Oreochromis niloticus: one gene and its partners. The protein of the gene in region 2 purifies or fractionates together with the protein of the main gene of each other region. This does not show direct contact. Links are inferred from orthologs where the notes say so. Each region holds a gene or a part of one and is shown on either strand. Other genes may lie near its edges.

Evidence for each region.
Region 1: the proteins of ift88 (region 2) and hspb11 purify together in Homo sapiens (affinity purification with mass spectrometry; 3 studies listed by BioGRID and IntAct, with this or other methods). This does not show direct contact. The link is inferred for Oreochromis niloticus from reciprocal best matches to the Homo sapiens genes IFT88 and IFT25.
Region 3: the proteins of ift88 (region 2) and ift46 purify together in Homo sapiens (affinity purification with mass spectrometry; 3 studies listed by BioGRID and IntAct, with this or other methods). This does not show direct contact. The link is inferred for Oreochromis niloticus from reciprocal best matches to the Homo sapiens genes IFT88 and IFT46.

The regions. Positions count from the first base shown.
Region 1 is NC_031977.2:14,352,076-14,359,116, forward strand, and holds the start of hspb11 (intraflagellar transport protein 25 homolog), read right to left. Parts: upstream 3,007-7,041; 5' UTR 2,883-3,006; coding exon 2,791-2,882; intron 705-2,790; coding exon 598-704; intron 1-597. Other genes in the region: smn1 (survival motor neuron protein 1), read left to right, coding at 3,114-3,161, 3,884-3,955, 4,036-4,155, 5,827-6,018, 6,571-6,747. UniProt on the Homo sapiens protein: Component of the IFT complex B required for sonic hedgehog/SHH signaling.
Region 2 is NC_031987.2:27,525,283-27,532,759, forward strand, and holds the start of ift88 (intraflagellar transport protein 88 homolog), read left to right. Parts: upstream 1-4,354; 5' UTR 4,355-4,562; coding exon 4,563-4,643; intron 4,644-4,862; coding exon 4,863-4,925; intron 4,926-5,109; coding exon 5,110-5,169; intron 5,170-5,436; coding exon 5,437-5,490; intron 5,491-5,611; coding exon 5,612-5,675; intron 5,676-5,930; coding exon 5,931-6,000; intron 6,001-6,764; coding exon 6,765-6,855; intron 6,856-7,374; coding exon 7,375-7,477. Other genes in the region: cryl1 (lambda-crystallin homolog), read right to left, coding at 1,512-1,638, 3,134-3,241, 3,996-4,036. UniProt on the Homo sapiens protein: Positively regulates primary cilium biogenesis. Also involved in autophagy since it is required for trafficking of ATG16L and the expansion of the autophagic compartment.
Region 3 is NC_031967.2:75,493,375-75,501,291, forward strand, and holds ift46 (intraflagellar transport protein 46 homolog), read left to right. Parts: upstream 1-4,762; 5' UTR 4,763-4,883; exon of another isoform or gene 4,884-4,970; intron 4,971-5,088; 5' UTR 5,089-5,106; coding exon 5,107-5,235; intron 5,236-5,541; coding exon 5,542-5,837; intron 5,838-6,039; coding exon 6,040-6,133; intron 6,134-6,211; coding exon 6,212-6,343; intron 6,344-6,423; coding exon 6,424-6,777; 3' UTR 6,778-7,648; downstream 7,649-7,917. Other genes in the region: gastrula zinc finger protein XlCGF49.1-like, read left to right, coding at 1-642. UniProt on the Homo sapiens protein: Forms part of a complex involved in intraflagellar transport (IFT), the bi-directional movement of particles required for the assembly, maintenance and functioning of primary cilia. May play a role in chondrocyte maturation and skeletogenesis.

The DNA of each region.
Region 1 (7,041 bases), on a different chromosome or scaffold from region 2:
CACATCAGATATTTAAACTGAGAAAAAAACACAAGGTCATTTTGAATTTGATGGCAGAAATACATCTCAAAAAAAGTTGGGACGGAGCCAACAAAAGCTTGGAACAGCAAGTGATACTAAAAAGAGACAGAGGAACATTTTGTAGCCAGTCAGGTTAACGGGCAACAGGTCAATAACATGACTGGGTATAAAAAGAATATCTCTGTTTAAAAAGATTCAGGACATCTGAAGAAATCTCTGTGCGCAAGGGACAAATAAATACAGGCTGAAAACAGATGGATACCCTTGATCTTTAGGCCCTCAGGCAGCACTGAAAAACAGGCATGATTATGTCATAGAAATCACTGCATGATTTTAGGAACACTTCCGGTCTGTTACTACAATTCAATCTACCATCCATTCAACTCAGGTTAAAGCTCCATCACGCAAAGTAAAGGCCATACATGAACACGATCCAGAAATGTTGGCTCATTTAAAATTGACTGAGGTAAGGTGGAAAAGTATTTGGAAATTCAGTTCATCAAATTTTACAGATGGACCCAACGTTTATAGAACTGGACATGCATGTTTGCCCTAAGGTGCACACAGCCTCCATACCATTGTAGCTGTCCACTGTCACAGTGCCAATGTTTGTAGGTTCAGGGAAGTGAATGATGAACTCTTGAGGAAACATCCCAGTGGACATCCAAAACGTTTTAGTGTTTCTGAGTGATAAGAAAGACAGAAAATCATGACATTTTACCATTGATGAGATCTGTTTAAATCACATTTTGATATCAACTTTTGTTGTGCAGATATACAATATTGCGCAAAAAATCTTCTTCCTATTTTGCTGCCATGTAGCCAGACTTTCCGGAAATATCAAAAATGTTAGCTAAAGCAATAGTCCTACTGCTTTTCCAGTCATTTGCACAATCATGTGACTCATTCAAGCAAAAAATACAGCACGTAATTCAAGACACCTAAATCTCTCTCGCGCCATCCGACAAGCAAAGCGTGCACATGCACAAAAGATCCAGAGCCACTTCCACAACGTGGAACGCGTGCTGAGATACTCCGCTGATCAGCTGGCCGATGACTACAGAGACATCTTCAACTCATCACTGAGCCTGATGATCATCCCAGCGTGCTTCAAGTCCACCATCATCATCCCGGTAGAGCAACCTCCCCTGCTCACTGGACCCGCCACAGTTTGCATACTGGCCAAACAGGTCGACCAAGGATGCTATTTCCACTGCACTTCACCTCTCCCTCTCCCACCTGGGCAAGAAAGACAACTATGTCAGAATGCTGTTCATGCTGCTGAGCACCTCTCTCTGCAACTGGATACTAGATTTCCTGTCAGAGAGGCCTCAGTCCGTCTGAATCGGCGACAACATCTCCAGCACCATCAGGCTGAGCACAGGAGCTCCTCAGGGCTGTGTTCTCAGCCCTCTGTTGTTCACCCTCCTGACACACGACTGGACTGCCCTACACAGCTCTAACCACATCATCAAGTTCACCGACTACACACCCGTGGTTGGACTCATCAGCAGCAACGACGAGTCAGTGCACAAAGATGAGGTTCAGCAGCTGGCGTTCTGGTGCAGTGAAAACAACCTGTCACTGAATGTGGACAAAACCAAGGAGATGATCATCGACTTCAGGAAGACTCGCTCCACTCACACACCACTCAGCATCAACGGTTCCACAGTAGAGACTGTTAACAGCACCAGGTTCCTGGGAGTTCACATCTCAGACAACCTCACCTGGACCACCAACACCACCTCCATCACCAAAAAGGCCCAGCAGCGCCTCCAATTCCTGAGACGCCTGAAGCGGGCTAACCTCCCTGGTCCCACCCTCACCATGTTCTACAGGGGCGCCATAGAGAGTGTTCTGAACACCTGCATCCCCGTGTGGTTTGGAAACTGCAAAGTCGGTGACCTCAGCCAGCTACATCTGATCGTCAAAGCAGCTGCAAAGATCATTGGAACATCTCTCCCTCTGCTACAGGACATCTTTCACAAACGCTGCATCAGTAAGGCCTCCTGCATCGTGCGTGACCCCTCACACCCCTCACACGGACTCTTTTCCCTCCTCTCATCCGGCAGACGCTATCGCAGCATCCTCCAGACTGCGAGACAGCTTTTTCCCACAAACCATCAAACTCCTGAACTCACTACCAGCTCCCCCACTCCACCCCATCACACACACCCACACAAACCACTAACTGACTCTACCGGACTCCACATACCACTGCCTTTGTAAATACAGATGCTGCTCTATGGACAGTCCTACTCTCAGGAATCCTCCTCATGTTAGTCCCTTTATTTCACAGTGTAAACTGTAAAGCTGCTACGTTGGTCATTTTAAACCACTTAAATATCAATTGTAAAATGTAAATTTTAGACTGTTATTAACCCTTTTACCTCAAAGTGTATATTTACTCCCCTTACCTCAGTCTCAAAGTGTATATATATTTATTCTTTCTATTCTTACTCTTCCTACATTTCTTGTTGTTCTTTTGCACTTTATGGAACTGGAGCCTCGTCGTCTCGTCTCTCTATGTACTGAACTGTATTTAGCAGAGATGACAATAAAGTTTTGACTTTAAAGGGACGAACCAGTGTTATGTCAACACAACAGACAGCTTAGCAAAGAAGCAATTTTAAGTTGCATCTTCAGGCACCTTTTAGTAGCAACTTGTAGCAAAATCACATAATTTGTTTCGTTTTGTTTAAATGAATATATGAAAATTGACAAAGATAAAACTGCTGAGATAACCACGGCTTAAGAACCAGCACTCACCCGTCGATAATGCTTTCTGGTGGGTGATTTTCATCGCTGGATGCAGCGAGGACAACTTTCGCACCTAAAGAAGTTAAAGAGGACTCAATCATCGCACAGAAAAGGTTATAGTCTCCGAGGCTTTCTGGTTTTTCTATAACAGGACACAACAAATGCTTGTTTACAGATTCTTAAGGGGGGAAAGTCGTCAATTGCCGTTGCCAAGCCAACCACTGCGTCGCAAGATATAGACGTCGCAATGTTGTACGTCACAATTTCCGACGCACGCTGCTAGTTAGATGTTTAGGAGTTAGCGGCTAGCACTGGATATAGCAATTGTTCACATGGCGAACGGATGCGAAGAAGTGCTTTTTACGCGCGGAACTGGACAGGCGAGTTATAATGCACTATTAAGCGGAGGAACATGACTTATATGACGCTTCTATGCTGTCTGTGCAGTTGTTTGAGGCGGTGAGCTATATAGCTAAAAGCTACAAACCAACGTTGAGTTAGGCTAACTTAAGATATGAGAAAAGGAATAAAAGAAGTCAAGCCGGAAATAAACAATATACCAGATGTTCTTCAATAAACAAAACGTGGCTTTATTGGAATATACCGTTGTGGATAAACGTTACAAAAAATGCTTTACAAAGTAGTTTTAGGTTGAGTTGCAACAGTTTACAGGAGACAAAGGTGTACTGTACAATAACCCTAAGATCCTTTGCATCCTGACTCTGTTTTTGCATGCACTGCTTGTAAGATGCTTCATTATAATTGTGGATTTAAGACTGATTTAAAAATAATAATAATAATTCAGCAACATTTAATGTGCTCGTCTTTTTGTGTGTTGTTTATCCTTTTTCCACGAAAGAAATTGATTAATTATTCATCATAAATTAAGTGTTTTAATGTCTTTCTGCTCTTCAGCACACCATCTTTTACTATTTAGTGAATTATTTTGACACAACAAATAAATATTGGCTGCAAATGTCATCTGGTTTGCAGGTATTATTTATTATTTTTAAATCACTTAATGTTTAGCCATTATTTATGTATACCCATCAAAAATACATGTTCGTTTTGTAAAGACTCCAAATTTGTTGTTCTCTTCCAGAGTGATGATTCAGACATCTGGGATGACACCGCACTGATAAAGGCTTATGACAAGGCAGTTGCATCTTTCAAGGTAACTTGGGATTATTGCAGTATGTGTGAATGTGAAATGTTGTTTGTGACTTTAAAGTCTCTTCCTGATTTGCGTATTAGACTGCCCTTAAGGGTGAAGATGAGCCACAAGTCTCAAAGAAAAACCAACCAGGAAAGAAACGCAAGAACAACAAGAAGAACCAGAGTAGGAAAAGAAACAATGCACCACCAGAAAAAGAGGTGAGGAACTGGAACTAAAGCTACAGATACATTTGAAGGGGAAAAGGTGTTAAATATTTACACATGATGTTTACAAAGTTGTCAGAGGTATCAAACTGGAGAGTACATTTTAACATAAGTCAGTTTAGATTCTGTGTTTCAAATCAGTGGTCGAAATGTGTCTTTCATTTACAGTTTCTACAGTTATGGTCAGAAGTTTAACTACACTTATCACAGGCATGAATGTCATCATAATTTGAGGATTTTAATAATTTCTTTTAACTGTTCTTTTTACTTTGTGGAGTGATTGCACAGCATACATCCTAAATGGGTTTTAAAATCAAGAATTTGGTGGACAACAAATTTTTGGGAGGTGGATTTTCTCTAATCCACACAGGGTGAAAAGTATAAATACGGGCTCAAATATATACATACATTCACTTAAATATTTTAGTAAGTGGTGCTGAAGGTTCAACAATGACTTAGAACTTGGCAAGGCCTGTTAACTTGTCATTAGTGATCATGATTGACTAAATCTAATAGTTTCTCTGCCATCATAAATAGGATTTGCATGGCAGCAGTTATTGGATTGACCAGTGCTTGTTACAATAGGAAACGCCAGGCTATTCTATGAAGGTCTAAGAAGGAGAATCGTACATTTATACGGGTTGGGATGGTCTTGGAGCTGTCCCTAAACAACTTCAGATTTTAAGATAATCAGTTTAAACAATTGTAAGCAAGTAACAGTTACTTGCACACGTGACCTCTTATCCAAGGTCTCAAAGAAGACCCAATCTGTTACATCCTCAGATTAAAGGAAATTGGTTAGGATGTTCAGGAACAACCCAGGAACCGCTGAGGCTCAAGTCTGCCATGAACTGGAAACTGCTGCAGCATCAGTGTCACTGTACACAGTGAAGCCAGTTTTGCATCACTGTGAAGTGGAAGGGTGCCAACCAAGAAAGAAGCACCTGCACCAAAAGATTTTCAAGCCTGCCTGAAATTTGCAGCAGCCCACATGGACAAGCCAAATGTCTTCTGTAGAAAAGTTTTACGATCAGACAAGACAAAGGTGTAGCTATTTGTCCACAATGACAAGAAGTATGTTTGGAGCAGTAAATATTAGGCTTTGAAACATAATTTCACCTCAAATCAGTCATTGGAAAACTGTTCCAACAGGACATTGTTCCCAAACACACATCAAAACTGGATTTAGAATGGATAAAGCAGGCTAACATTAAGCTTTTGGAATTACCTTCCCAAAGCCCGACCTCACCCCCATTAAAATTTGTGGACTTTGCTTAAAACCTGGGTTTGTGCTGGAAGCCAACAAATTTAAATGAACTCTATTAGTTCTGGCGAGAAGAATGATCAAATATTTAACCAGAAATACACCAGAAGCTTGTTGATGGTTACCAAAAGCCATCTGGTGGAGGCGCGACTTGCTCAGGGACATTTAACGCGTTATTCGGAGTATATGTGTATATGCCTTATGTATACTTTTGATCCCATAGAAATTTAATTTAAACTTGTGCACCTCTTCTGCACCATGTTACCATGACATTCATGCCCATGATGAGTATTTTTTCTGACCACAACTGTACCCTGTTGGTAATTCTGAGACATTCAAAAACAGCGTTGTTTACACATGTTGACGCTTTCACTTTAATTACAGTTTATGTTGTGTCACAGTGGCAGGTTGGGGACTCATGCAGTGCTTACTGGTCCGAGGATGGCCAGCTCTATGCAGCCACGATTGCCTCCATAGACAAGAAGAGAGGCACTTGTATAGTTGTTTATACAGGCTATGGCAACGAGGAGGAGCAGAATCTTGAAGACCTGCTGTCAGAGTTTTCGGAGGGTGATGAGGAATCAAATACCAAGGTAAACTAGTGCAAATAAATGCATTCACATAACAGCAGCACAATACAAATAACAATTCAGTTATTAGAAAATGGTAGTATTGTTCCCTGACACAATTTGCACATAGTTTTTACCTTCATTATTCACATATGCACATCATGAATTTTAAAATAACAAAACTAACATTGTGACCAAATCAGGCTTAAATAATTGGCAAGCAATCCATTGTCATTTGGGTTTTTTAATAGGCCACAACTTAATGAATATAACAGTCGAAATTTCGGCAGTTGGCGTCAAAGACCAAAAAATATGAAATTATTATTAATTACTCCACCCAATATTTATCAAATGGTGAGTCATGGAAATCACTGCCGATTAACAGATTGCTTTCTCAGTCTATTAAAACTTAGGACCAAGTATGGATGGATGGGTTAGCTCTTTCTGCTTTTGTCTGGATCATTTCTTACTGCTTCCCAAACAAATTCAGATAGGTTTATGGATTTCTCTGTATTTGTTCCCAATGATATGAAAATGGGGAGAAAGATCAAAGCAGTATGTCTTTGCTATCCATAGGTGCATGAAGTAGAATCTTCAACAGAGGAGAGTGACAGGTCAGCTACTCCAAACCAGCACAAACAGTCACCTAATAAGGGCCACAAGTCCAAGACCCACAAAGAATCACCTCCTATGTGGGCTCCTGGTTTTCCTGGATTTCCTCCAGTACCACCTCCCATGCGTGCTTTCAGACAGGTAAGAAGAAAGGCTCTTTAGGGAGCTGATTCATTATTAGTCTAACAACAAAATTACTTTCATGCATACTACTCCTCTTATTTTTGTTTTTAAATTGTGATTAAATCAGTTTCAGGTGTTAATTAAATTCCCGATAGGAGGTTGAATGTTTGTTGTAGTCAGAAAGATGAAATGTGAGCAAAGTGTTTGTAATCTGAACAATAAAGATAGAATATGAACATTTATTGCAGGACTGGATTGTAATAGGCCCAACTTCTTTTTGTGGACCCAACTGTAAAGAGCAGAAAAGAAATA
Region 2 (7,477 bases):
TGATGCAGTTATTTTTATGTGGTGTATACAAATCTCAGGTGACTCTGAAATCACAATGCAATCACATTTCCCCATAAGGACAAGTAAATGTATGAGTTTTTTGGTCCAGTAATGTACTTACCACTGATATACTATGAAGCTATACTAGTAAATTAAGAGAAACAAAAAAGTTTGCACTTTTTTGTTTCTCTGGCTGGCCTCCAGCTCGCCTTGGAACGGTTCACAGCCGAGTGTGAAGCGGTGGGAATGAGAATCAGCACCTCCAAATCTGAGGCCATGGTCGTCAGCCAGAAAAGGGTGGAGTGCCCACTCCAGGTCCGGGACAAGTTCCTGCCCCAAGTGGAGGAGTTTAAATATCTCGGGGTCTTGTTCACGAGTGACGGGAGAAGGGAGCGGGAGATTGACAGACGGATTGGTGCTGCGGCTGCAGTGATGCGGACGCTGTATCGGTCTGTTGTGGTGAAGAGAGAGCTGAGTGTAAAAGTGATCCTCTCAATTTACCGGTCGATCTACGTCCCTACCCTCACCTATGGTCACGAGCTGTGGGTAGTGACCGAAAGAACGAGATCGCGGATAAAAGCAGCGGAAATGGGCTTCCTTCAAAGGGTGGCTGGACTCTCCCTTAGAGATAGGGTGAGAAGTTCAGCCATCCGGGAGGGGCTCAGAGTAGAGCCGCTGCTCCTCCACATCGAAAGGAGCCAGATGCCAGTGGTTCGGGCATCTGACAAGGATGCCTCCTGTGCGCCTCCTGGGTGAGGTGTTCCGGGCATGTCCCACCATGAGGAGGCCCCGGGGCAGACCCAGGACACACTGGAGAGATTATATCTCTTGGCTGGTCTGGGAACGCCTGGGTGTTCCCCCGGACAAGCTGGAGGAGGTGGCTGGGGAGAGGGAGGTCTGGGCTTCTCTGTTTGGGCTGCTGCCCCTGCGACCCGGCCCCGGATAAGCGGAAGAAGATGGATGGATGGATGGAAAAAAGTTTGTAATTTACGTGTTAAGCAACTGAAGGAACTGAAGTGTTATTATGCAAAACATCTCCATATTACTATATGATATCACAACCCAATGTACAACAGGGATATTAGTCTAAGTTCAAAATGTGACGTGAGAATGTGACGGAATATGTCAAATAAAATTATGCTGCACTTCCTTGGGGGGTAAATGTGTAATAACAAAGCCAGAACGTATTGACCTGAGAGTGTAGTAACCATTCCTTTAATGCTGCTTTGTTTAAACTATGTGAACCAATAAATGAACAAAAACTACATTGTTTCCACTGAGTCACACACCACATACTTTTGAAAAGACCCACACCAGTGGAGAGAAGCCCCGTGTTTCATCAAAGTCTGCCAACATCCACAAAACAAATGTCCGGTCACATGTGTGATGGAGCAAGTGGCTAACAGAAAAATAAACAAATCAACAGAGAGCAATGTTGTTTCCACTGGTTTTTCTATGTAGGCCAAAGAGATATAACAGCATGTGTTTGTGTTGTCAGCGATCTGTGTTACCTGCACAAAGAAGGCTCCATCCAGCGCCTGAGACAGGTCATCATAACTGCTCAGAAGGGCAAGTTGCTGCGCAGCAGACAGCTCCCCTCGCAGCATGTGGGCTTCCTCCAGCTCCACCAGCTGTTTCCTGAGGGACAGAAACTGCAGTTAACACACACACACACACACACACAATGCACAAACAAACTGCCCTCTATCATGACATTTTCAATTAGAAAAGAATCATTACCACAGGCTTCATATATAAGTAGTAGTAGAATGTAGTAGACTGAAGACTTTGGAAGAAATGAACAGATGTGTTAGGTGTGTTATTATCAGCCAAAAGAAGTGGTTCTGATATAACACAAAGCAGACAACGCTTCAAATATGGATGCTGCTACAAAGAAGCTAGAGATTCTAAAGTGTCTGCTCTGTGCACATTTCCATCTCAGCAGCACAGAAGATTTAGACACTCAACACAGTTTCAGTGGGGGTAGATTATGTCACCAACTTCACCGTCTTACTGTATGAAAGTATGTATTGTATTGCACTATTGTGCAAATTTCTCTAATGAGGCATAAGTTTTTTACTCTGGTCTTTCATGCAGAAAAGAATAATAAAACAATAAAGATTCTGGTTTATAGATCGGTCGGACAACCTATTAATCAGAGTCTGAGCTAAAATGAGGTGCAGGTTTCAAAGGAGACCGTGTAGTCTGCTGCAAATCCTGTTATGCTGTCTTAACAGTAACACTGATGGCACTTTTAGGGTGTGGAGTACATACCACCACCTTTTTGCTCTTACTCCAGCCTATCAACCTGCTTCTTCAACATCTCTTTATAATTTGCCCTGTATATGGAGTGGTGATACAGCATGTGGCAGTTACATAACACTGTATCACATGAGTCAGGAAGATATCTTGGTTTGAAAAAAATTAAAGTAATTTAGACTAAGTGACGGTTTATGAAAACAGGGCACACAACAGATAGCAGTCTAGCTTGTTCAGCAGGAAATCATTCACAAAGGGCCCCTGAAATTTAATTCAATGACACCCTCTACTGTTCATATAAACAAATACGTCTCTAACGGGCTGAGTGATAGGCAGTGGCATGTACTCAGAGGGAGACTCACATTCATGAAATACTGGTATAGAGATTAAGGTATTAAGGTTTTTATAGCTTAAAGGCACTGTGACTTTCTACAGCACTTTCATTAAAAACTCTGCGTCATTCCACAGTAATGTTTAACCACTAATAGCCAGGCTGTGAACATGTGTTTATTCATGTGTGCTCACAGTAGGAGCCAACTGCTGATCATGCAGTATTCATATATGTCTTCTCTGTAAACACTGAAAGGAAGAACAGGTTACATTTTAGATAGGGTGTCTCTAACTCATCAGGGCAGAGAAGCCCCTAGTGTCAATGTTTCCTTTAGGTTTTGCAGGCACCAGACACTAGTTTAGCTTCTGTAATCTATATTTATATATTTATGATGATATATATGTGCTTTTTTGTTTTTACTAAGAATTACATCTGGGTTAAAACAAATTTCTGTTGACTATAGAGGTATAATAATGCAGTTAAGACTGAGGAAGTTTGTCTGTGTAACCCAGATGGGTCTTTAAGTTGAGCAGTAGGACTCACTTGATCTCTGCGATGGCCCTGGCAGACTGTCCTGGTTGGTTGTCATAGATCTTCACATTGTAGCCTCCACTGACAAACAGCATAGCCCAGGAGCGGCCTATCAGCCCACTAAAACAGGGAAGAAAATCGCACGGTAAGAGACATAAAACATAAACCCCAATAAGCAGACTTAAAAAACAAAATCAAAGCAAGGGCTGAATGTTGTTTTTCAGTAAAGTCCATTAAAATCACACAGCAGTAAAGTGCTGACAGTGTGCCTGTCTGCTTGCTGACACCAGCTTCATTTTCCTGTCTTCCTCTCATGTTTTGACATGTAACCAGAAGTGAAGTGTAAATTCACTATGAATGTTTTATCAATCCCTTTGCCACCCATCTGAATATTATTGCAATGTTAACACACAAAGATTACCCCCTAAAACGTATGGCAACATAAGTGAAGAACTGTGAGGTTCAGTGTTTGCTTTGCAAGTTTAAGAGAGGTCACTTCAGAGGGACTGCCATGTTTAATGAACAGGGTTCAGAAGACAGGTTCAATTTAAAACCTCTAAAATCACACAGCTATAAACCTTCACGCTGTAGCTATCGTTACGTGTCTGTAATAAACAGGATTCTTCACAAATTCATTCTGACTGAAAACACAAGACAAGCGTTCATTCAGAACAGTCCTGTTTATGTCGTTAGCAACAGGATGATGCACACAATGCAGTAACCAAAATAAAATTACATGCACTGATACTGCAAACTAGCTTTCAACCAGTTTTTCATTCAACAAAGCAACTTTCGTTTCAACTTCATGAATACAGGTGAGGGCTAGCATGGTTGCATCATTTTACAACGCAAAATACATTGTTATCTCGCTCACCTGCCAATCACAGTGATAATCTTCATGTCAGCAGCGCTCATTTTTAGATGTTACGAGACCAGCTAAAACTTAACTTACAGCATTTCTATTAATTTCTGTTGCGCCGCCCCCCTTGATAGTCACCGTAGTCACGCTGACCGTGCTGTACGGTGACCTAGAAGGACCAAAGGAGGCAAACGAGCGCAAAAAGCATGTTTTCCTTGAAATGAGCAGTAAAGAACCCCATAAACTATTAATTGTAACTTTTTATAAATAATAAATACAATGTATGTAAGTATTTAAAAATAAATATGAGAATATGAAGAAGAAATAGGTTGTAGCGTTGTAGTGTATCCTAGCAACGAATGAGCGCAACTTCAACCAATTAGGTTGAGGCCAGACGATGATGGACGCGTGAAAAACCAATCAGAGGTTTGAAAAGGAAACTGTCCCGCCCGTGCCGCGTTGAATTGTGGGATGAAATCCTAAAAGGACAACAAAATATTACCAGTTATCTCGCATAGAAAACTGTTTGTTTGCCACACATTGAGGAATATTTTCATATACTACCTTTCCGGAGAAACAGAAATGGAACATGTGCATCTGGCTGTAGAGGAGGACGACCTTTACTCGGGTTACAATGATTATAATCCGACATTTGACTCGGAGGTAAGTTAACCACTAACCTAACACTACATTAGTACATTGTTTCTAAGCGTATAGAAAGCAACTTTGAAAAATGAATGTTGGTTATATGAGATTGAGATAGTGGCATGACGAAAGACAAATTACTTCAGTTTTATTTCAAAATTGTTTGTGTGAAAAATGTCTGCTCTTCTGTCCGCCCACTATTTAAAAAATGAAGACTAATTGTTGTCCAATTTTAAGGAGCTGGAGAATGATGTGGGCTTCCAGCAAGCAGTGAGGACAAGTCATGGAAGAAGACCCCCGGTAAGTGCCAAATACTGTGTGTGTGTGTGTGTGTGTGTGTGTGTGTGTGTGTTTGTTTGTTTGTTTGTTTGTGCGCGTTTGTGTGAGTGAGTGAGTAAGTAAGTAAGTGGGAGAGAGAGGGAGAGGCTTACTGGAGGTGTATAAATCGTTTAACTACTAATATATCATGTCTTTAATTTTCTAGATGACTGCCAAGTTTCCTGGCACTCCCATTGGACCTCGATCTTTAGCTACTTCTTTTGGCGTAAGTACAAAGAAATAGAATGATCCTTTAAAAGTGAAACATTTTTGAATGATCACAACAAATACAGATACCTCCTTCAAAGTACAGTTCTGTGATGAAAGTTGCTCAGATTAAATCACTGATAGGTGACAAGATGTGCAGCCAATGATGGTGATTGTTTCATTACCGTGAAGCATTTATGTGGAATGTTTTTGTTCATATCTAAATGTTAAAAAGACCAAAATTATTGTTATTGATTACAATATTGATACTTATTGTTTCACAAAGGCTCGGCTTCATATGGCCTCTTCAATGGGACGACCCATGACTGGAGCTGTACAGGTGAGAATTATTATTAAATAATCGAATGTGCACATAAGGTCTTGCATAGTTTATGTTAGATTATTTTTTTATAATTAGAGTTTACTATATATGTATTTTTTGTTATTTGCAAATGTACCAGGATGGGTCAGCCCGACCAATGACTGCCGTCAGAGCAGCAGGTTACACCTCCGCCCTGAGTCGGGGTGAGTTTAAAGAAGTTGTCTGTTTCATCTATTTTCTTTTGCGTGTCGATAATGATTAAAAAGTTATTATTGTATACTTCAGGAATAGGTACAGTTGAGTGTCTCTAACATAAAAATCTAAAAAATAAAAAATTAGCATTTTTTTGTTAATATAAACCTCTTTCCATTCTTATAAGGACAGATTTAAATATGCAAGCTTTGTGTCTTTCCCCTTGCAGTGATATAGTGATGAAATGGTATGATTTATATTTTCAGGCTCAGCCTTTGACCCTCTGGGCCAGTCCAGAGGTCCTGCACCTGCACTCGAAGCAAAGAATGAGGATACGTAAGTTATCACTTTAGACTGCTTTGTTTCAGTGTGAAAATGCTATGCAGTACACTCACTCTGCAACTTCATTAGGTATGCCTGTTCAACTGCTCTCTGATGCAAATATCTAATCTGCCTGTCTTATGTCAGCAACTCAGTAAATTTAGGCACATAAACATGGTCAAGATGACCTGCTGAGGTTGAAACCTGGCATCCGGAAAAGGAATGTGATTTATATTACTTTGAACGGGGCATGACTGTTTGTGTGAAACAGCCTGGTTTGAGTGTTTTAAAAACTGCAGATCTGTTGGGAGCTGCAGTTGTCTGGTTGAAATTGTGTTGATGCTGCTTTGAGCTGATAGGAAGGCAACAGTTACTCAGACAACCACTCTTTACAATCAAAGTATGCAGAAGTGCATCTCTGAATGCACAACACATCAAACTTTAAAGCAGACGGGCTACATCAGCAGAAGACCACGCCATGCGACACTCCTGTTAGGTAATACAGGAAACTGAGGCTACAGTTCAGAGGATCACCGAAACTAATAGAATAGAAAAATAGAAAAAAACATTGCTTGTGGAATTCTTATTGTACGGTCAGAATTTGGCATAACGAACACGAAAACATTTCGCCATCCTTCTTCGCACCAGTGGTTCAGGCTGGGAGTGGTGGTGTAACGATGTGGGGGATATTTTCTTGGCACACCTTGGGCCTCTTATTATCAGCTATTATAAGCTCACAAACGTTTCACTCTCTTTTTTTCTGCATCATGTTCTTGCAGGCCTGAGGAGAAGATCAAAATCTTGGAGAAGAAAGTGAATGACCTGATAGAGGAGAGCTGCATGGCACAGAGCATGGGAGCCTTACAAGTGGTCAGCCTGTCCCTCTTTAACAAATTTTTTACTAATGTTGACTGTCTGGATTTAAAGAGAAGGCTCTCCACGTGGGGCAGTTCGCCATAATTCCTTTTTAACTGTGTCAGCTCTCTCAAAGTGATGTGTATAAAAACTGCTTACATTTCTACCAGAGTGATACCTAAAACGGCTGTTAGGACAAAGTACTTGAAGTTTATCAACCTTCCCATTTCCAGTGGTTTTTCATACATGGGGAAAATTGGTCTACATATTGTATAGGCACACATAACAGCAGTGTGCTGTTTGCTGTGATTTCTGAAAACTTTAAAAAAAACTCTTTTTAAAAATATTGTTATTACAGGTGATTTTCGTCTTGTGAAGGGCCAAGGCCTTTTTGGTCGGCACCAGAATGTCTAATGGGCAGGAAAAACTTGTTACATCATTGCAGCAGAGTGTGTATTCATAATTATTTCTGATTATTACCCAGAAGTGGCTTACTTGCTGTGTGTGTTTGTGTGGGTGTGTCTGTGTCTACAGGCCCTTGAAAAAGCCAAAGAGGCAGGGCGGAAGGAGCGAGCCCTGGTCAGACAGAGGGAACAGTCTGGCAGTGCAGACCATATAAATTTAGACCTCACCTACT
Region 3 (7,917 bases), on a different chromosome or scaffold from region 2:
TGTGACGAGTGTGGAGCAGCTTTCAACACTTTAGGCGCTCTACAAATCCACCAGCGCATCCACACAGGAGAGAAACCCTACAGCTGTGAAGAGTGTGGCGCAGCCTTCGCAGTTTCGAGTACACTGAAAAAGCATCTCCGTGTTCACACTGGAGAGAAACCCTATGTTTGTAAAGAATGTGGCAAACGGTTTACGGAGTCCAGCGCCCTCAGGGGCCATCAACGGGTGCACACTGGAGAGAAACCATATAGCTGTGACCTGTGTGACAAAACCTTTGCACAGCTGGGGGCCTTAAAGAGCCACCGCCGTAGCCACACTGGAGAGAAGCCATACTGGTGCGACAAGTGCAACAAAACCTTTTCTAATCGGTCCACTCTAACCCACCACATGCGTGTGCACACTGGAGAGAGACCGTTCTGGTGCGAAACGTGCGGGAAAACATTTGTTTGGCAACGCAGCCTGAAGGAGCATCAACTCTCTCACACAGGGTACCCGTGCAGACGCTGCGGGGACGTGTTCCCTGATCGAAGTCTTCTGTACAATCACAACCTTGGTCACAGGTGGAGAGACAAACAGGTCAAGAGAGCAATGCAAATGAAATCTGAGGCTGAGAATCAACACCCACCCTGTGTTTTTGTTTAAGCTTTTGCCCCTGTAGCAGGGGCAATAAGAACTGGCTTGTGGCCACGACCTTCAGACTCACTGTCTAATGTCAAAACTGACCTCAGTCCAGCTCAAGCAGATAGTATGAAGGATATGAAGTTGTTTCTTTGAGAAATGATTAAAATCCTTTTTTTTAAATATCAATTCATTAAATCCAAAAATGCCAGAATCTCAGATTAAAACTCATAAAACTATTTCAACAAACGCCAAACAGCTAAAACGGCAAATGAGAGCAGGTAAACAGATTCAGCACAAAATGCAGACCTGATGCATCAGAATCTCACCAAGCTACACGAACTCGCCGTTGGAGCTGAAAGCCGACATCTCGCAGATTCTCTGCAGGTTTCATTATTCTCCGACCAAAATTCACTGAACCAGCAGAAAAGAAGATCAGAACCTTTTTTTCTTCAAAAATTCCGACAAGAAAGCCTAATTTCTGCTTTTCTGTACTGAAGAAATGTACACTTAAAAAAAAAAAAAAAGATTATGCCAAATTACAAATTGCTGTGTCTCTAATAAAACCTCTGTAACATTACTCTGCTTCACTTCAGCAACATCAGGTCATATGTTGATTTTCTTTCGTTTTTATTGTATTGCAGAATATTTTTAAGGTTGTCTGCTATAAAAAGCCAGGCCAGGAAAATCACTTTTATGTTTTTCTGTGTTTTATCCCCAGTTAAGCTGGGCATACACTGTGCAATTTTTTTTCAGTCACGTTATTCAGCTCCTGCTCAAAGTGACTGAATCGCAGGGGTTAGAAGTTCGTAGGTCACGATGCAGGGTCTCACACTATACAGCCCGATGCTCAGCTCTGCGACCTGAGTGCTCACACTGTGCATCCAAATTTTAGCTTGGTAACATGAAGTGTTACCAAAGCTTATATTATATAGCTAAGATATAACACAAAATCTGTCTCTTGCTCTTCCTCTCTCTCCCTCTCTGTCTTTCACTCACACAGACACACACCACCAACAACATCAACTAAAATGCTAATAAAAAACACTGACTTACAACACAGCTGCAATTGAGCAGCAATGTCCATCCTACTTCTTTCGCGGATGCAATGATAATTTTCTAAGCCCACATCAAAAAGGCTTGGATGGGCTTGCCAAAGTTCTACAAGTCCGCTGCTTGCGTCCAGATCACACACTGCACTGATTCATCTTTTTCACTTCGTTTTCTGTATTTGCACATGCGGAGTGTGAGATGTTGCGTTAAATTGGCTCTTCGCATCGCATCTATAGTGTGCCCTCACGAGTGGCAACCATGTGACCGTACAATTGCTGACTGGGAGCTGGTCGTGAGGTGTTAATCGCTTCTCATTACCCCATGTATACTACATGATGCATGACACACGATTAAGGTGAAACTCCCCAAATCTCCGTTAGCGAGTTGATGCTGACAGCACTAAGTAAAACAAAAGGAAAAGTCAGATTTATAAAGAGTCGATCTCCAAAACAGTCGCAGGAGTGAAAAATCGTCTCAAAATGGGCCATAAATTGTATGTCCAGCTTAACTTTGACACAAAGGCATCTGCTGTGATGTTTACACCTGTGATGAAATCTCACTAGTGTCAGATTTTATTTTATACACAGACATAAAAATATGGATATGTACAGATAAATGATCCGAATTATAATCTTTCTGTCTGAGTCAAAATTGAATCGAATCAAATCAATTATAGAAATCAGATACCCAGCCCTGTTTTTTTTCTGCCAAATATTTGCTAATGTTTTTCAACCACAATTTTATCAGCTTGATAAAGAAATGACTGAAACACTCTTGTGAGGCCTGTTTAGTGAACTGATGTTGATCTTAACTGATTTAATTCCTACTCCTTTTCTTATTTTAAGTTTATCGTTCTAATCGTTTTCTGCTGCATTATATTTTCAATTTTATTTTGTTGTTTAGGGATTTTTGGCAACATGGGGGTTAGAAGGTCCTGAGTTCAATTCCACCATCAGGCCGGGGTCTTTTTGTGTGGAGTTTGCATGTTCTCCCCGTGTTTGTGTGGGTTCTCCCCTGGTACTCCGGCTTCCTCCCACCATCCAAAGACATGCACTTTGTGGGGATAGGTTAACTGAAAAATCTAAATTGCCCACAGGTGTGAATGCTGGAGTGAATGTGAGTGTGAATGGTTGTCTGTCTATGTGCGTTGGCCCTGCAACAGACTGGCGACCTGTCCAGGGTGTACACCGCCTCTTCCCCTATGACAGCTGGAATAGGCTCCAGCACCCCCTGCGACCCTGAAAAGGATAAGCGGAAGCGAATGGATGGATGGAAGGATTTAGTTTTAGGTCTTTTTGTTACTGTTTTTTTTTCTTGTGTTCTTTTCTTCATGTTTGCTGTTCTGATTTTTTTTTAATTCATGGCTTTACTGTGAGGCTTTACATGTGGGGTGTTAGGTTTTTGTATTGTTTATTGTCATTTATGCCTAGAAATATTTACTCATATATGCTTAGAAGTATATAATCATTTGTAGATTGAAAGAATGTCTCATCCCAGGAGGTCTGTAACAACTCTGTGTAGCATGAAGAGGGGAGTGCGTTCACTCCTCTTCAGAGTGTTGTGGCATAGATCACACGCCTCCTAGGAGAGGTCGTATTTTCTCTTGCTGATATATGGTATAGCAAACACACGTATATCTGTGGCTCTTAGACTCTGTTTGAGTTTAAGAGCCTTTTGTTTAGATGGACCGCTAGACTCCTGGCACCAGCTTTGGGGAGTCACACACACACACACACACACACACACACACACACACACAGGGTATTCTTTGTTCACATGTATACCTATATAAGAGGTCATATGTTAATGAACCTATGCATATTCATGTAACCACAATAAAAGAGCAGTGTTACGGGAGAGCGGACGAGAGCAACTGGGGTCAAGCGAAGGAACGGCACCTGTCCAGTTCTCTCCCGTGCACGTGAAACATAAAGAACTTGCCTACTCGAGTCTTGCTTGCTGTGTAATTACATTGTCCTCGACGTTCCAGCGAATAGGTTCAAGCTACAAACCTATCAGGGTTTCACAATTTGTATTTGCACCCGGATTAAGATGTGCTCTCTAAATAAAGGTTTTCTTAATTGACTTCTGAACCAAATAACAGCTTATGAGGTGGTAACTATCTGGGAACGTGTCCTCAGGGCGCGAGTGCCTCTTGTTTTCTGGAGTAAAAACCTGTTCAGCATAACTGAAGAATAAAGGTGCACTAAACGATGAGGATGATGTTGAGTGGTGGTGACACATACAGGTTGCACAGCTGTGACTTCCAACCAACATAAAATCAAGATCATCAAAATGTAACGACCTCGAAAGGAAATCTGCAATGACCCAAACGCTTTAATAAAGTTTAATGAAAGAATCGTTTTTGCCTCAGGATTTTATAATCATCAATGCCAGTGCTGATTTATGAGAAACATCAATTTCATTTAATATAGGATTTAAACAGCACCAGATGAGACAAGGATAAAAGACAAAAGATAGCATGAAAAAAGAATAATGCACAACTAAAACCAAAGCCCTGAAATATTATTTTATGATTATTTGCTGTTTTCGTTCATCTTTAAAAACTCTCCTGAGAGACTGTGAAAAGCTGCCAGGAAACCTGAATTGTTTCAGGTAGGTGGAAAACATCCACAGCACCGCAATAACAAAATAACTCAAGTACCTTTATTAAGAGGAGTCGGCACCCCACAAACAGCTGTGGACGGCCTTGTTTGTGTAAACCCTTTGTTATTGAGAACAGATGAATAAATATCGTCACTTCACACTTCAGGAAACCTTTCCCTGTGTGTTCATCAGAAATATATTGATGACAATGAGCCTCAATAGTTTTTCTTTTTAAAAAGATTTGATTTTTTTGGATTTAAAATGGTTTTGTTAACATTTTTATTTATTTGTTTTTATTTCAGTCATTCAGTCTCCAGATTTAGAGGAACCTCAGCCATCCATCCAATAATAAATGCACCACTGTTTCATTTTCTTCCAGTTACTTTAAAGCACTTATTTTTTATTCTATATAATATAATATAATATAATATAATATAATATAATATAATATAATATAATATGCCTTGCAGCTGGAGCTTCTGCTCTCATTTGATTCTAACTACACTACCCATGATGCCCTTCCCGTCCCGTTGCCAGGATACGTAACATTCCACAAAGGCCATTTTGACGCCGAAAAGCGAGTTTGGCTTGAACTCAGACGTCAAGTAAGACATTTAAAACATTTATCGGATTTGAATTTAGCTCTGCCGGCAGGTCGTTTGTCTCTGTATGCCGAGTGTGTGCTGTCTCAGGTGGGTTAACCGGCTTAAAACCGCCGGTGTCGGCTTCTTGTTAGCTGTCTGCTGCTAGGCGGCTAATGCTACTGTAAACCGTTGTTTCTGATGGAGGTTTTACTGTGTCCGCCCGCAGCTGACCCGCCGGACTCCGATGGAGCGGGCTGACCGGGACAGAGGAGGCCGCCTGCTGAAGAACCAGCCGTACGACGAGAGCCTGGATGTGGCGGACGCCGAGGAGGTACCGAGCGTGTACAGCCCGACTCCGCGCAGCCAGCCCCAGGTAATCTCCTCCTGTCCTTGCGGAGAGCTCCGGTTTAACCGGTGATCGTGACGCCTGCTCGTGTTTCTTCTTTATTTAAAGCTCAAAGTGTTTCCAGTCACAAACTCGTCTCATATAAGAAGCTGTGTAGAAATGACAGAAGAGTGAATCCGGTGATGTTAAGTTGTGAGCATCATGTTTTAAACCCTAGTTTTTATTAAAACAGTAAATAAAGTTTCCTTCCATCAGAGTTGAACTGTAAGCTGAGTCACTCCTGCCATGCTCCAGGTTGGTCTCAGGTCCTGGTTTTGTTCCTTCGTCTTTCAGGTGGAGTTCAGGAGGAGCAGCAGGAGGGTTCACAGCCTGATGTCGGCCCACAGCAGCAGCGACGAGTTTGACGAGGACCACGGGAGGGGGAAGGAGCCGGCAGGGGGGCGGCCAGAAGAGGAAGAAGAGGATGATGACGAAGAAGATGATGACGACGACGACGACGACTCCGAAGATGACGAGTCGGAGGAGGACAGCAAGCTCCACAAGGCGCCGGAGGGCCTGTATGATCCCGCCGACTACGCCAGCCTGCCTGTCAGCACCGACATCAAAGAGCTGTTCCAGTACATCACACGGTGAGCAGAGACACACGTGCCAACTCATGTTTTTTAACACCATCTGGTGCTTGTTTCTGCTAAAAAAAACCTTATCAAAGTTTATTGATAAAGCACCGAATCACAACAACAGTCACCACAAAGCACTTTATATTGTTAAGCCCTGCAGTAAATCACGTAGTTGTCACGCACACATCTGGAGTGCTTCCATGTTTTGTCTCAGATACACCCCCGAGTCTGTTGAGCTGGAGCACAACCTGAAGCCATTTATCCCGGACTTCATCCCCGCGGTGGGAGACATTGACGCCTTCCTCAAGGTTCGAACACAATCACACCTGATAGCACAGAAAGCGCAACCTCTGACCTCAGAGTGACCTCATGTTGTAATCCCACAGGTGCCGAGGCCCGATGACAAACCGGACAACCTGGGGCTGCTGGTTCTGGATGAGCCCAGCGTGAAGCAGTCGGACCCGACGGTGCTGTCGCTGTTTCTGTCGGAGGAGACCAAGCAGCACGGCGCCACCGAGGTACACACACACACACACCTGTACACACACACACTCAGCATTAAAGTCAGAGTCACTCCTCATTGTTTCCTCTCCTGCAGGTGAAGAAGGTGACGAGCATTGCCAACCCTCAGAGCAACCTGCGGGCAGTGGACAGCTGGGTGGAGAGCATCAGCGCGCTGCACCGCTCCAAGCCGCCAGCGAGCGTCCAGTACAGCCGACCGATGCCTGACATCGACAGCTTGATGCAGGAGTGGCCAACCGAGCTGGAGGAGCTGCTGGACCGCCTGCAGCTGCCGTCCGCCCGCCTGAACTGTGACCTGCCGCAGTATGCGGACATCGTGTGTGGCCTGCTCGACATCCCCGTTTATGGCAGCCACGTCCAGTCCCTGCACCTGCTCTTCAGCCTCTACCTGGAGTTCAGAGACTCGCAGCACTTCACACGCAGAGCTTAGTGGCTGGAAGTACGACATCCAGAGGGTCACAAAAGTCTGTTCAGGAACTGAAAACTAACCCCAGATGTGCCAGATGTTCGACTCTTTTGTGCTGAGAACCTGTTGCTCTGCTTTTGTTTATTTCCTCAATTTGTTTTCTGTTTGTCCACTGAAATAAAAGCCATGTTCAAGCTCTTTGTAAAAACACAGCTTTCGAGCTTCATCTAACCTAAGCTTACTTTCACTGTGAACCTGTGCCACCTGCAGCAGCCTGAATACTTCAGGAACCAGATGAAGGTCCTTGATAAACACTGTAATAAACCAGCTGCTCAGAACAAGGTCACTGTCTGAACATCTGTAAAGTCCTGAGCCTGCAAAAACCGTCTATGTTACTCAAAGATGCCCATATATATTATATGTAGAATAGAATAGAATAGAATAGAATAATCCTTTAATTGTCCCACAAGGGGAAATTTGGTTGTAACAGCAGCCAAAAAGACACATATACAAACAAACAGGACACAGAACAGAAACATACACAATTTTTCTTAAATATTTACATATGTAACTAATAAAGTAAACTCTGTGAGTGTAACCCAGTCATAGATTACATATTGTTATAATTACACAAACTGTGTTCTTTATACCTGACTGTGAGGACCTTCAAGCCTGTAGTTATATTCATTATCGGTTAGAGCCCCTTCTCATTGTTCTTCTTCGTTGGTGCAACCCTATAAATACAGTGTACCCCTTTGGTCTCTCCCGTTTTCTACAATTCCCCCGTGGGAGAGGTGGCTGTCATTTCTTTCCAGACCGTGTACAACACACATATAATTCATATTTAGGCACCCTGATGTTTCTGATAGTGATTTTAGTTCAATTATTGTCATCATTATGCCTGTTTTTTGTTAGACGCTATAAATGTGTAGTACGTGTGTGCCATAAATGTGTTTTAGGCGCCATTAATGCTAGCACGAATATATAATTATGGCTAGCTTGGAAGTTGTGATGGGTTGAGCTAACCCTCTCCCCCCACTGTTTGTATTTGGTTGTAGGAGCTGGAGCGAGCAAGTTATTTACTCGGAGGTCTTTCTTTTACCTTTCTTTGTCAGGTATGTCGGATTTTTTGTTGGTGTTTTTTTTTCTTATCTTATGTCAAAT